3 separate regions of the Mus musculus genome follow, and all the other regions are reported to be linked to region 1. Evidence: microRNA targets listed by miRTarBase, many of them from high-throughput screens and not tested one by one. Region 1 holds a microRNA gene; each other region holds the end of a gene's coding sequence.

What was found. Region 1 holds the annotated microRNA mmu-miR-546 (AUGGUGGCACGGAGUC, at 794-809, opposite strand). A microRNA usually pairs through its seed, bases 2 to 8, with sites in the 3' UTR of a target mRNA and lowers its output. Matches are read on the target gene's strand: a 7mer-m8 pairs with bases 2 to 8, a 7mer-A1 pairs with bases 2 to 7 and ends in A, and an 8mer does both.
Region 2: the mRNA of Dffb is a reported target of mmu-miR-546. Seed matches in the 3' UTR shown: 7mer-m8 at 1,792-1,798.
Region 3: miRTarBase lists Ikbkg as a target of mmu-miR-546. The part of its 3' UTR that is shown has no 7-base or 8-base seed match.

Annotation. Positions count from the first base shown.
Region 1 is chr10:126,996,126-126,999,279 of GRCm38, reverse strand. Mir546 (microRNA 546) reads right to left here and starts at 840; the gene lies at 720-840. Ctdsp2 (CTD (carboxy-terminal domain, RNA polymerase II, polypeptide A) small phosphatase 2) reads right to left here. Exons shown (of 8, transcript NM_001113470.1): 7 at 3,069-3,154; 8 at 1-2,919. The coding sequence ends at 2,794.
Region 2 is chr4:153,962,765-153,965,918 of GRCm38, forward strand. It overlaps Dffb (DNA fragmentation factor, beta subunit), which reads right to left. Exons shown (of 7, transcript NM_007859.4): 7 at 1,685-2,849. The coding sequence ends at 2,606. Among named protein-coding and RNA genes, the nearest start is that of A430005L14Rik, 7.1 kb to the left of the region's middle.
Region 3 is chrX:74,447,977-74,451,130 of GRCm38, reverse strand. Ikbkg (inhibitor of kappaB kinase gamma) reads right to left here. Exons shown (of 10, transcript NM_010547.2): 10 at 1-2,914. The coding sequence ends at 2,772. Among named protein-coding and RNA genes, the nearest start is that of Ikbkg, 20 kb to the right of the region's middle.

The DNA of each region.
Region 1 (3,154 bases):
TGGAAATTCATCAAACCGTGTGTGTGTGTGTGTGTGTAGGGGAGAACTAGGACATTTTTAAAAAAGGAGTAGCCGTGGTTAAGTAGCCCAAAGGGGAAACAGCTCACCGTTTTCACTTAGCCAGGCCAACACACTGGATGCAGGACAGCACAAACAGGCCACACTGCCAAGAGGCCTCTGAACAGAGCAGGTCATGGACCTATAAGGGACCCATCTCCCAGGAATGGTTGCTGTGAGGGTCCCATGCTTTTAGTACAAAGCTTTTCTGAGCCACTGTTAACAGGGGGAGGGGGGTTATACAATTATACAAAAATCTTTGGGAGGGAGTGAGATAGGTCCCTGGTTGAACGAAGGCAAATTCACTCAACTTCTTTAATTAGGGACCCATGGGCCTTCGGTGTCCCCTCTACAATGTGCAGAGTGGAAACCCTTACCTGGCCCTTTATCAAACTGGTCCTGTGTCCAAAGCTCCCCCTATAAGAGGGACAGGAACGTCAGGCTTTTGATGCGAAGCCCAATCAGACACACACTGTGTCCCTGAAGAGGCACCTTAAAGAGCTGAACCCGGCAGGGGGCAGATTCCTAGCATGGCTTGGAGTGGATGCTGACACCTGGTCCGGTGGTCTACTGACTCCTGAAGACCAGTCTGCACTGGGGCAGGCGGGCTGGTGGCAGTGGAGCAAGGGCTTCAGGAGGCACTGGCTCCTCTCACTTGCCCTCCTCTCCTCCCCAGTATCACTTTGCTTCTAAAACATGGAACTAGCACAGGGATAGCAAGAGACAACATCTAGCTGACTCCGTGCCACCATGATAGATCCTGTTTAGTTTTGGGAAGAGAGGAGTTGATATGGCATCTTTGTGGCAGACTGCAGGTGGTAAGAGGACTCTGGTGGCAGTCAGGCCTAGAGAGCTGGGGTTTCATGGAGAAGTAACAGGGCTCCCATGAAGCCACACTGGGCTTTGGTCACATGGAGAACCAAGAAGCCAGAAAGGGACCTTAAAATTCAATCAACTCTGAGGCTCTTATTGCTTAGTCAAGACCAGCCCTCAGAGCTTTGTGAGAAGACCCCTCCTGCAGTATTGGGATGCCAGTGAGATCAGGGTCTGGACCTGAAGCCACAGTCAAGCTCCCATGTTCCTGGCTAGCACCTGCAGCCCTCAGCTCACCTTGGGAGGACCCTACAGACACCAGCAAATGAGGCTGGGGAAATGGCATGTGTTTGTCACAGAAGTGAAAGCCAAGGCTCCATAGCCTCGGGCCCAGGAAGAAGTCTGCAGAGTGCTGGAGGAATGCCAGCCAGTCTCCACTCACACCACCACACTCCTCCACCAGGCTTTCTCAAACCCCAGGCAGGACCTCGTGTGTGGAAACTAGAAAAATTTGAAAATATTGACTCCTGAGTGGGAGGTACCACACCTGAACCAACCCACAAACGCTGGCCGGCCTCCAGGGGAAGCAGAGATGGGGTAGGAACTCCCGCCCACCTCGGAGGGAGGCAGGGAGTGGGCGGGACTCACTTAAGGCAGTGAGGTGGAGGCCCCTCAGGGGCCCCTTGTGTTCCCAATGGTAGCTTTCCACTTTGGGGAAACTTCCACTCTGTGACTGACATTGAAAGCAACAGGGCTGAGAGCTCAGAGCTGCCCAGAGCACAGAGCTATGAGGACCTCACTCAGTCCTATAACGAGAAGCAGGAGGCATTTGGCAAATCAAGTAAGAGCAACACTTGGGACAACCAATCAATTAAGTACAACCGGGGAAAGTCCTTCTCCCAAGGCTCTGGAGAGGAAGAGCAGCAGCCGAGAAGGATAAAGGCGAGAGCAGACGAGAGCTGGCCAGGGCGGGACACCAGGAAGACACAGAGGGAGAGCCAAGCCCTCCCCAGCCTTTGGAGCTAATGTCCTTGCATCAGCTAGCACAGAACCCCTGAAGAGCACTTTTGGGATCTACACGCAAGGAGACAGACATCTTGCATTGAACATTTGCATTTTCTTTGTACCCCAGCGCTTCCCACACAAACCTCAGGCCCAGGACTGGAGCTCGGGCGAATATAAACCACTCCAAGTTTAGAAAGAGATTTTTAAGAGTTAAAAGAACAGAAATCAGCTATATGTCCTCCTCCAGGGCAGAGAGAAGACCTCCTTTCCCATGGGAGTAGGACTATGGCTTGGGAGTGAGAGGCTGGCCTGGCACTGGAGCCCGGGTACAGAGAAGTGCCCATGGCAGGCATTCTTGCTGGAGCCAGGTGTAGCCCATAGGACACAGAACCTGGTGGGTCTGCGAACATGCTCTCATATTCCCAAACATGTCTGCAGCTGCTGGCTAGGTTTCTGTGTTTTCTGAAAGATGTGTGTCTGGGCATCCAAAGCAGCCTCCGGCCTCTCCCTTCTCCTTGGCACAGGTCTTGATGCTGAGGGAAAGCCATGGTTTGGCGAGGGAGCCTACAATAGTTTTCATGGCTGTAAAGCTCAGTAGCTCACAGCATAGCAGGAAAGAAGACAAATGACTTGGGTTGAGTCCTTATCTTTCAGCTTCTCCCCCTACTGCACAACTGGGCACCCAGGACCATAGTTTACCGGACGGGCACATGCACGCACACACACCCACACAACCACCTGGGAACTGAGCACGGGGTGCAGAGAGCTCTGGGTCTTGGTCTGATTTCCTGCTCTGCGTGTGACCTGCTTTTGTCCCACACGCCCTGGCTACTTGCAGACCCCGTCAGTGAGGCTGACCACAAAGGCACAGTGTAGCAGAGTCCCCTGTTGGGATGGCCGTTTCTTGGAGCAGGAAGGCTAAGGGGCCCGCAGCTGCCCAAGGCTGGTGTAGACATCATCAGTTCCACTTAGCTCCTCGAAGACTGGAATCAGGTTCAGCAACTCTGTATCTGCCATGTCATCAAACCAGGACTGCACAGGCACCTGGGGCAGGAAAAAGTGACATTATCTGATATTTCCTTTCCTTTCCAGTGCCATTGGAGGCTGCTGGGCCACACAGGGGTTGTGGACTCCTCTGATAAAGCCCACGGGCCCAGCCTGCAGCCACCCCAGTCCCTGATGCGAGCACTCACTGCATTTTCTGGGTGGAAGATGTAAGATGCAGGGGAGTTGTCCAGGATGACAGTTTTCCTCAGGTCCCTTCCCAGGCGGCTGAGGT
Region 2 (3,154 bases), not on the chromosome of region 1:
GGCCTGTCATGAAGGGAGAGTTACAAGTACACAGGCATCCTCTGAAAGTCCAGACGGTGGTGGGTAGATGTGGGATCGGGCCCAAAGGATACTGGGAGAGGTTCCAGTGTGTGCTTACAGTCCACAGCAGCAAACAACACAAGAACAGAAAAAAACCAAAGCAAGTCCACCAAGCTGGCTTAGCATGTCAGGGCGCTTGCTGCCAAGCTTGATACAAGTTCAACGCCTAGACCCCACATGGTAGAAAGAATCGCCCTCCACAGGTTGTCCCCGTGCCTCTGCAGTTGAGCACCTGCAGGTGGGTCCAGTCGTGGGCACCTGTGAGACAAGCACCAAGATGCAGAGAGCCGTGAACATAGCAGGCCACCAACAGACAGTAGCGGATGGGGGAGGTGGGAGTGGGGGCCTCAGCGCAGGGTCCAGAGGAAACAAGTCTGGTTTCCAGGTTCCCCAGACAATGGGAGACAGCCCAGTCAGGCCCTGGATAGTTTTGAAGGTCAGTCACCTGGTACCTTGCTGAAGACCTGTTGTTCCCACTCCAGTCTTCCCAAAGATCAAATGGGCCCAGGCCTGGGGCAGACAGAGTTCCCCATGGCACAGGGGACAAGCTCTTGAGAGCCTCCTGGGAACAGTTCCTTCTCTGGACTCAGCTTAAGCCAGAAGCATTCCTAGATGCCTTTGGTGGCCCTGCCTCGCTCAGGAATGAAAGCCCACTCCTCATCCCAAGTAGCTGGCAGCAGCTCACAGCACTCTGGCTTCTAAACCTTTTGCTCGCTGCCCTTCAGCTTGTGCAGTTGATACCTGCTATGCTCTCATGAGTCCCAGGCTTTTCTGCCATCTCTCACTGTGTGACAAAGTCATGGGGCAGACAGCTCATCTGAGTCACTACATATGTTTTGGTTCACTTTTTCTGGGGCTCACTGCCTACATTATCCTGGGAGTCAGGAGGGGTTTGGATGACAGCTCCTATCTGCGATACTTCTCATCAGCAACCAGTTGAGGGCCCAGAAGCAGGAAAACATGTCCCACCTAGGACAACCTTCTGCCTTTCACTCAAGGCTCATTTTTCATTCCAGCTGCAATGAGTGTTCTGCATCCCACTGGAGAGACAGAACCTCCGGTCAAAAGGGGTGCAGAGCACACCAGCACACCGGCAGGGGCATGGCTGACAGAGGCCACAAATGGCAAACCTGAGGTTGAAGAGAAGGCTCAGCTTCTACTTGCTGCTCCACAGAGGACCCAGACTGGGTTCCAACTCCAACATAATGGCTCACAGCCCCCTGCAGTTCTAGTTCCAAGGTACCCGATCGTACCGACCTGGCACCTGCATTCACGAGGTGCACTAGCATACACTCAGACACACACACACGCACACACAGACACACACATCAAACTTCAGAAAGCCCAGTCCTGGCAACAATTCTGTAGGGGGCAGTGATTGTGCACGTCCTGGGGTGTTTGAGAAGGACAGAAAAGCAGAATAAGACACATTGTGAACAGTGTGCATCCATGACTAAGACAAGCAGCTGGGTCCTCAGAGAGCCCCACCTGGCTGGCTGCCTCGGGCACTGCCCTGCCACCTCTGTGAAGATGAACTCACCTAGATAAATGTTCAATTTCTGCCTGCCAGTATCTCACCCTTAGCCCCATCTTCCTCAATATGTTCAAAAAATTTTGACATGTCTATTTTAGAAACACTTTATTGTTTTTCTGATTACATGGCAAATATAAAAATCCAAACATTACAAAATATATAAAATGCCCATTTCAAAAATAAACTCAGGTTGGGCGTGGTGGCACACACCTTTAATCCCAGCACTCGGGAGGCAGAGGTTGGCTGGTCTATATAGTGAACTCCAGTCCAGCCAGAGCTACATAGTGAGACCCGGTCTCAGAGAAAAAGCAGAATGAAGTATTATAAAATACATGATGTAGGAGATTGTACTTGGTGATCAATCTCAGCCCTGCTGAATCCCCCAGGGTTACAGAGTGTCATTTCCTCAGACCATGCACAAGCTGACACACATTTACAAAACCAAATGCCAGGTGTGGTGGTGCACACCTGTGGTCCCAGCTCTAGGGATGAGGCAGGAAGATCATGAGTTCAAGGTCATTCCCTGCACAGATAAAGCCATCTATGCCTTTAACAGTTCCCTATTTCTCCACATGAAAGTTTAAACCTGCTCCAATCGTGCGTACATACATATATCAGTGTTGAGTCATGAAATTCATGACAGCCATTATTTAACCCATTAAAAACATCAGTTTCACATGGCTCAAAATAATGCCACAGTTGGCTGTTCACACCAGGAGACATCTGGATGGCTTCCCACCTTCTGCCATTTTAAACAATGCAGCAGAGGATGTCCTGCATGTTCGTTATAAAATGCAAACATTTATCCCAGAAGCACCGTTTCTTTCAGAGGCGTATAGTCAGAGCTGCCATTTGCAGTAGAAATAGAAGCCATAAAAGCTCAGCACAAACTAGCACCCCACACACATCACAGTGGCCAAGTTCAGCCCTGGGGCGGTGAGCGTGAAGACCCTGCCACAGGAACACGATGAGCACCGGCACTGACCGTCCTCTGCACACTGGGCTGTGTCACTAGCGCTTCCGAGCAGGGCGCTTCTTCCGAGCAGGCTGCTTCCTCCTGGATCCTGTCTGAGGCCGATAGATCCTACTGCGGTCGCACTCCAGCTTGTGTGTGGTCTTCTTGTGGCAGGCGATGTGCACCAGCTTCAGGTTCTCGGCAGTGAAGAGCAGGCTGTAGAAGTACTCCCAGTTCACCTCCCTCCCATCCTGGATGGCTTCAGCCAGCGTGGGTACCACGGTGCGCTTCTTCTCTATTCTACCAAGTCAGGGGGAGACAACCATTCTACTGTGAGTGCCACACACTACGGGCTGCTGTGCACGCTCCCGTGAGCCACAGACACTCGCTGTCTGTGGATGCAGTGTCTACCACGGCAGGCAACCTCCTGCAGTCCCGACTGTTCTTTTGTTTTTTTGGTTTTTTTTTTTGTTTTTGTCAATATGACAAGCTAGGGTCATCTAGGAAGAGGGCACCTCAACTGAGAAAATGACAGGACTTAGGGATGAGTCACCAGAGGAGTCCAGCACCGTGTTCCGTGGGCTGCTGACACTGGCCCATCCCTG
Region 3 (3,154 bases), not on the chromosome of region 1:
CAATCTGCCTTATCGTTTATTACTTCAGTAGGTGAAGCACTCTGTACTGTCTTACTGGCTCTCTGGTTTTCTCTTGGGCATGGGCCAACAGGAAGAGAGCATACATAAGAAGCACTATCTATTCCAGAACAGGTCTTCTGGAAAGGGCATGCTTCTAGCTGTATGGATCTAAAAGTTGTCTGCCAGAGGCCACATAAAATTTGTGCAAAAGCAAGTAGACTAATTCCTGAGGGGAATGGAACGACCACTTTTTCCAGTTCTAGCTTAAGTAATTCTGCAAAAGAAAAGAGCATGTCTCATGTCAAAAAGATGGTAGAATCTCAAATCTTTGATGTACGGTTAATCATACACCATACTGCAGGGTAAGTCGGTGGCAAGGGCTCCCACCTTCTAGAAGGGTACTAGGTCCCAACCATTACCTTGTGCCACCCTCAGATTTGTCTTGACCAGTGCATGAAGCCCATGTTTTCAAGCTTCCTACTGTGTAACCTGGGTCACACCTGCTTTCTGGGACCCTTTCAGGATAAAGTACTGGTCAGAAATGCACCTATGCATCTCTGTTTATCCAAGAAGCGTGAAGCTCATGCAGCCACTGCAGGCAGCCCAACAGCTCTCTCCTACTATAGCCAACCTGCCTTTCCCAATCATTCCCACTGACCCTACTAACAGCATCAAGCACTGACAAGGGTCTGCCTTCAAACTCTGAAGACTACTGGTCATCACCCTAGAGACCAGGTCTCTCTAGCAGAATTACAAGGCTTTAAAGGCCCTGCCTTTGGGCTGCATTTACTCAGGTTCTGATGATATCCATACTCCGGGTTATATAAGCCCAAACCCCCATAATGTGAGAACAAGACTTTATTTGGGGAAAGGATCTTGGTAGGTGGAATGAGTTAAGGGTCTTGAACTGGAGATCCTCCTTAATCTAATCAAATAGACCCCACATGCACAACATGGTTTCCTTATGAGACAGAAGAGAGGAAGAAACCACAAGGCCCTAGAACCAGAAACTGGAGTGATGGGTCTATGAGCCAAGCAACACCAAGGACTACCACAAACCACTGAAAGTTAAGAGAATGCCTGGAATTGATTCTCACAGCCTCCAGAAAAAACTTAATATGTGGCTTCCAGACAGGAAAGAGTGATTTGTTGTTGTTGTTGTTGTTGTTGTTGTTCTTGCTCTTCCAAGTTTAGGAAAAATTTTAAAGCAGCTATAGAAAAGTGATATATACCACCACAAAACTGGACTCAACCTAAACCAATAGTATTCCTAAAGGAAAATTATAGATTAGGTATTTAAATGAAAACACATAAGCAAAGAACTTGTTTGTTCCTTTAACATTTTCCTAAAGATCTTTCTGATAGATACCTGGGAATTAGGAAATGGAAAACTTACTCTGCATCCCCTGAAAATTCCGAGAAAGCCCCCAGCTCAGGATTACTTTTTAAATCCTTTTTTATAATCTGAATTCTACTTAGCCTTCTCACTCTTAATGGGAAAGAAACCATGTAAATAAAAGCCCCCGGGATGGATTCACAGATACCACTCAGAACCATGAAAGCTTACAGGAGGGCAGGAAGGATTTAGACCTAAGGAATGAGCAAGGCATATTTATTGCTTTCTCAACTACAACTTCCTTTCCTTTACTAGAACTGCAGGTCTAATACCAATGACGGTAAGGTCCCACAAAATGTCTAGAACCTTGCAAAACAAGTGAAGTGTTCCCTTTTCTGTGATCAGTCAGTCACTGCTAAATGGTTCCCTAGGACATTTTGGCTGGTGAAGAACATGTGATCACAAACTCCAGGAGTGTGATGAACTATGGCCACCACCATTCACAGAAGGTAACAATGTGCTTGGCAAAAACAAGAGCACACTGGGGCTAGAAAAAGGAAAGCATACATGTGAAATACCTTTCTGTTGACAAAGCAGTCATAATTCCAAAGTCAAAAAACTAGGAGTAAAGAATGGGTAAGTAGGAGTATAAAACAGCTTCTAGGCCCCAAAACACTAACAATCAATGTGGAACAAGGGGTGCACTTCTGTAATAGTCAAAACCAACCTGACTGATAATCAAAAAGCTCTACAAAGCCCAAGAACAAATGGCAATGTCCCAACAGAAAAATGGGTAGGAATTATGAAAATCCAAGTTACATCAGAGGAATTAAAAAGGGCCCACATGCCCCAGAAAAAGACACTTAAGCAAATTCTTTAGTAAAGAATGGTATATCTTAGAGATGGCAAAAATCCAAAGGTCTGCCCACCTCCTCCAGGGCAAGGATCCAATGTCACATCTAAGCATCTGTCCTAAAGGTACACACAGATCAGTGTACAAGTACTTTCACTACACCATTAATTACAGTAACAAAAGGACAGAATACTTTCCACATGTCTACCAGAGGTAACACATGTTATAGACCCAAGTGCCACATGCCCTGGGAGGAGAGCCTGCAGTTCACCGGCAAGAAAGGTACCAGTTGGAGAGAAGAAAAGCTGTACCCAGACCTGCTTGGAGAAGGGATGCTCCCTAAGAGCCCCTGGCCTCCATTCTAGACTCCCTAGGACTATGGGAGAAGAGGGAAGAAGCCACCAGAGGCAAACTGGATCAGGCACACAGAAAAAAAAAAGCCCTGAATGGGGCTGTCTACCCTAAATGGGGGACCAAAGGGCTAAAGCAAGCCCTTAAGTGTGGACTATGCAGGTAAAACAGGAAAGCACAAGTCACACAGATCAGGACATAGTACTGCAAGTGGCCTTGCATCTGCTGCTCCTACTCTATGCACTCCATGACATGTATCTGTAGAGTGTCCATATCAGGAGCCTGATACTGGCACTTCGGACAACAGAAGTCAGGAGGTTCTTCAGGAGGGCTCCTCCGCTGGTTGGACAAGGCCAAATGAAAGGAGTGGTGAGCTGAGAAAAAAGAACACAGGAGTGTGATGAACTATGTAAGTACTTCATGCACAGCCTAGGTAGGCCTCAAATGGAAAGGGGGGCTAACAAGGTGCTGAGACTTACTGATACCACCATATTTGACTACATTGCTGGGAGCCACCTCCACCAGCACATTTTTCCTTTGACCTCAGAGTGATGTGGGCTACTGACAGGAGAGGTCAGCAAGAACTCCCCAAAGCAGAGCAGCAGAGAAACCAA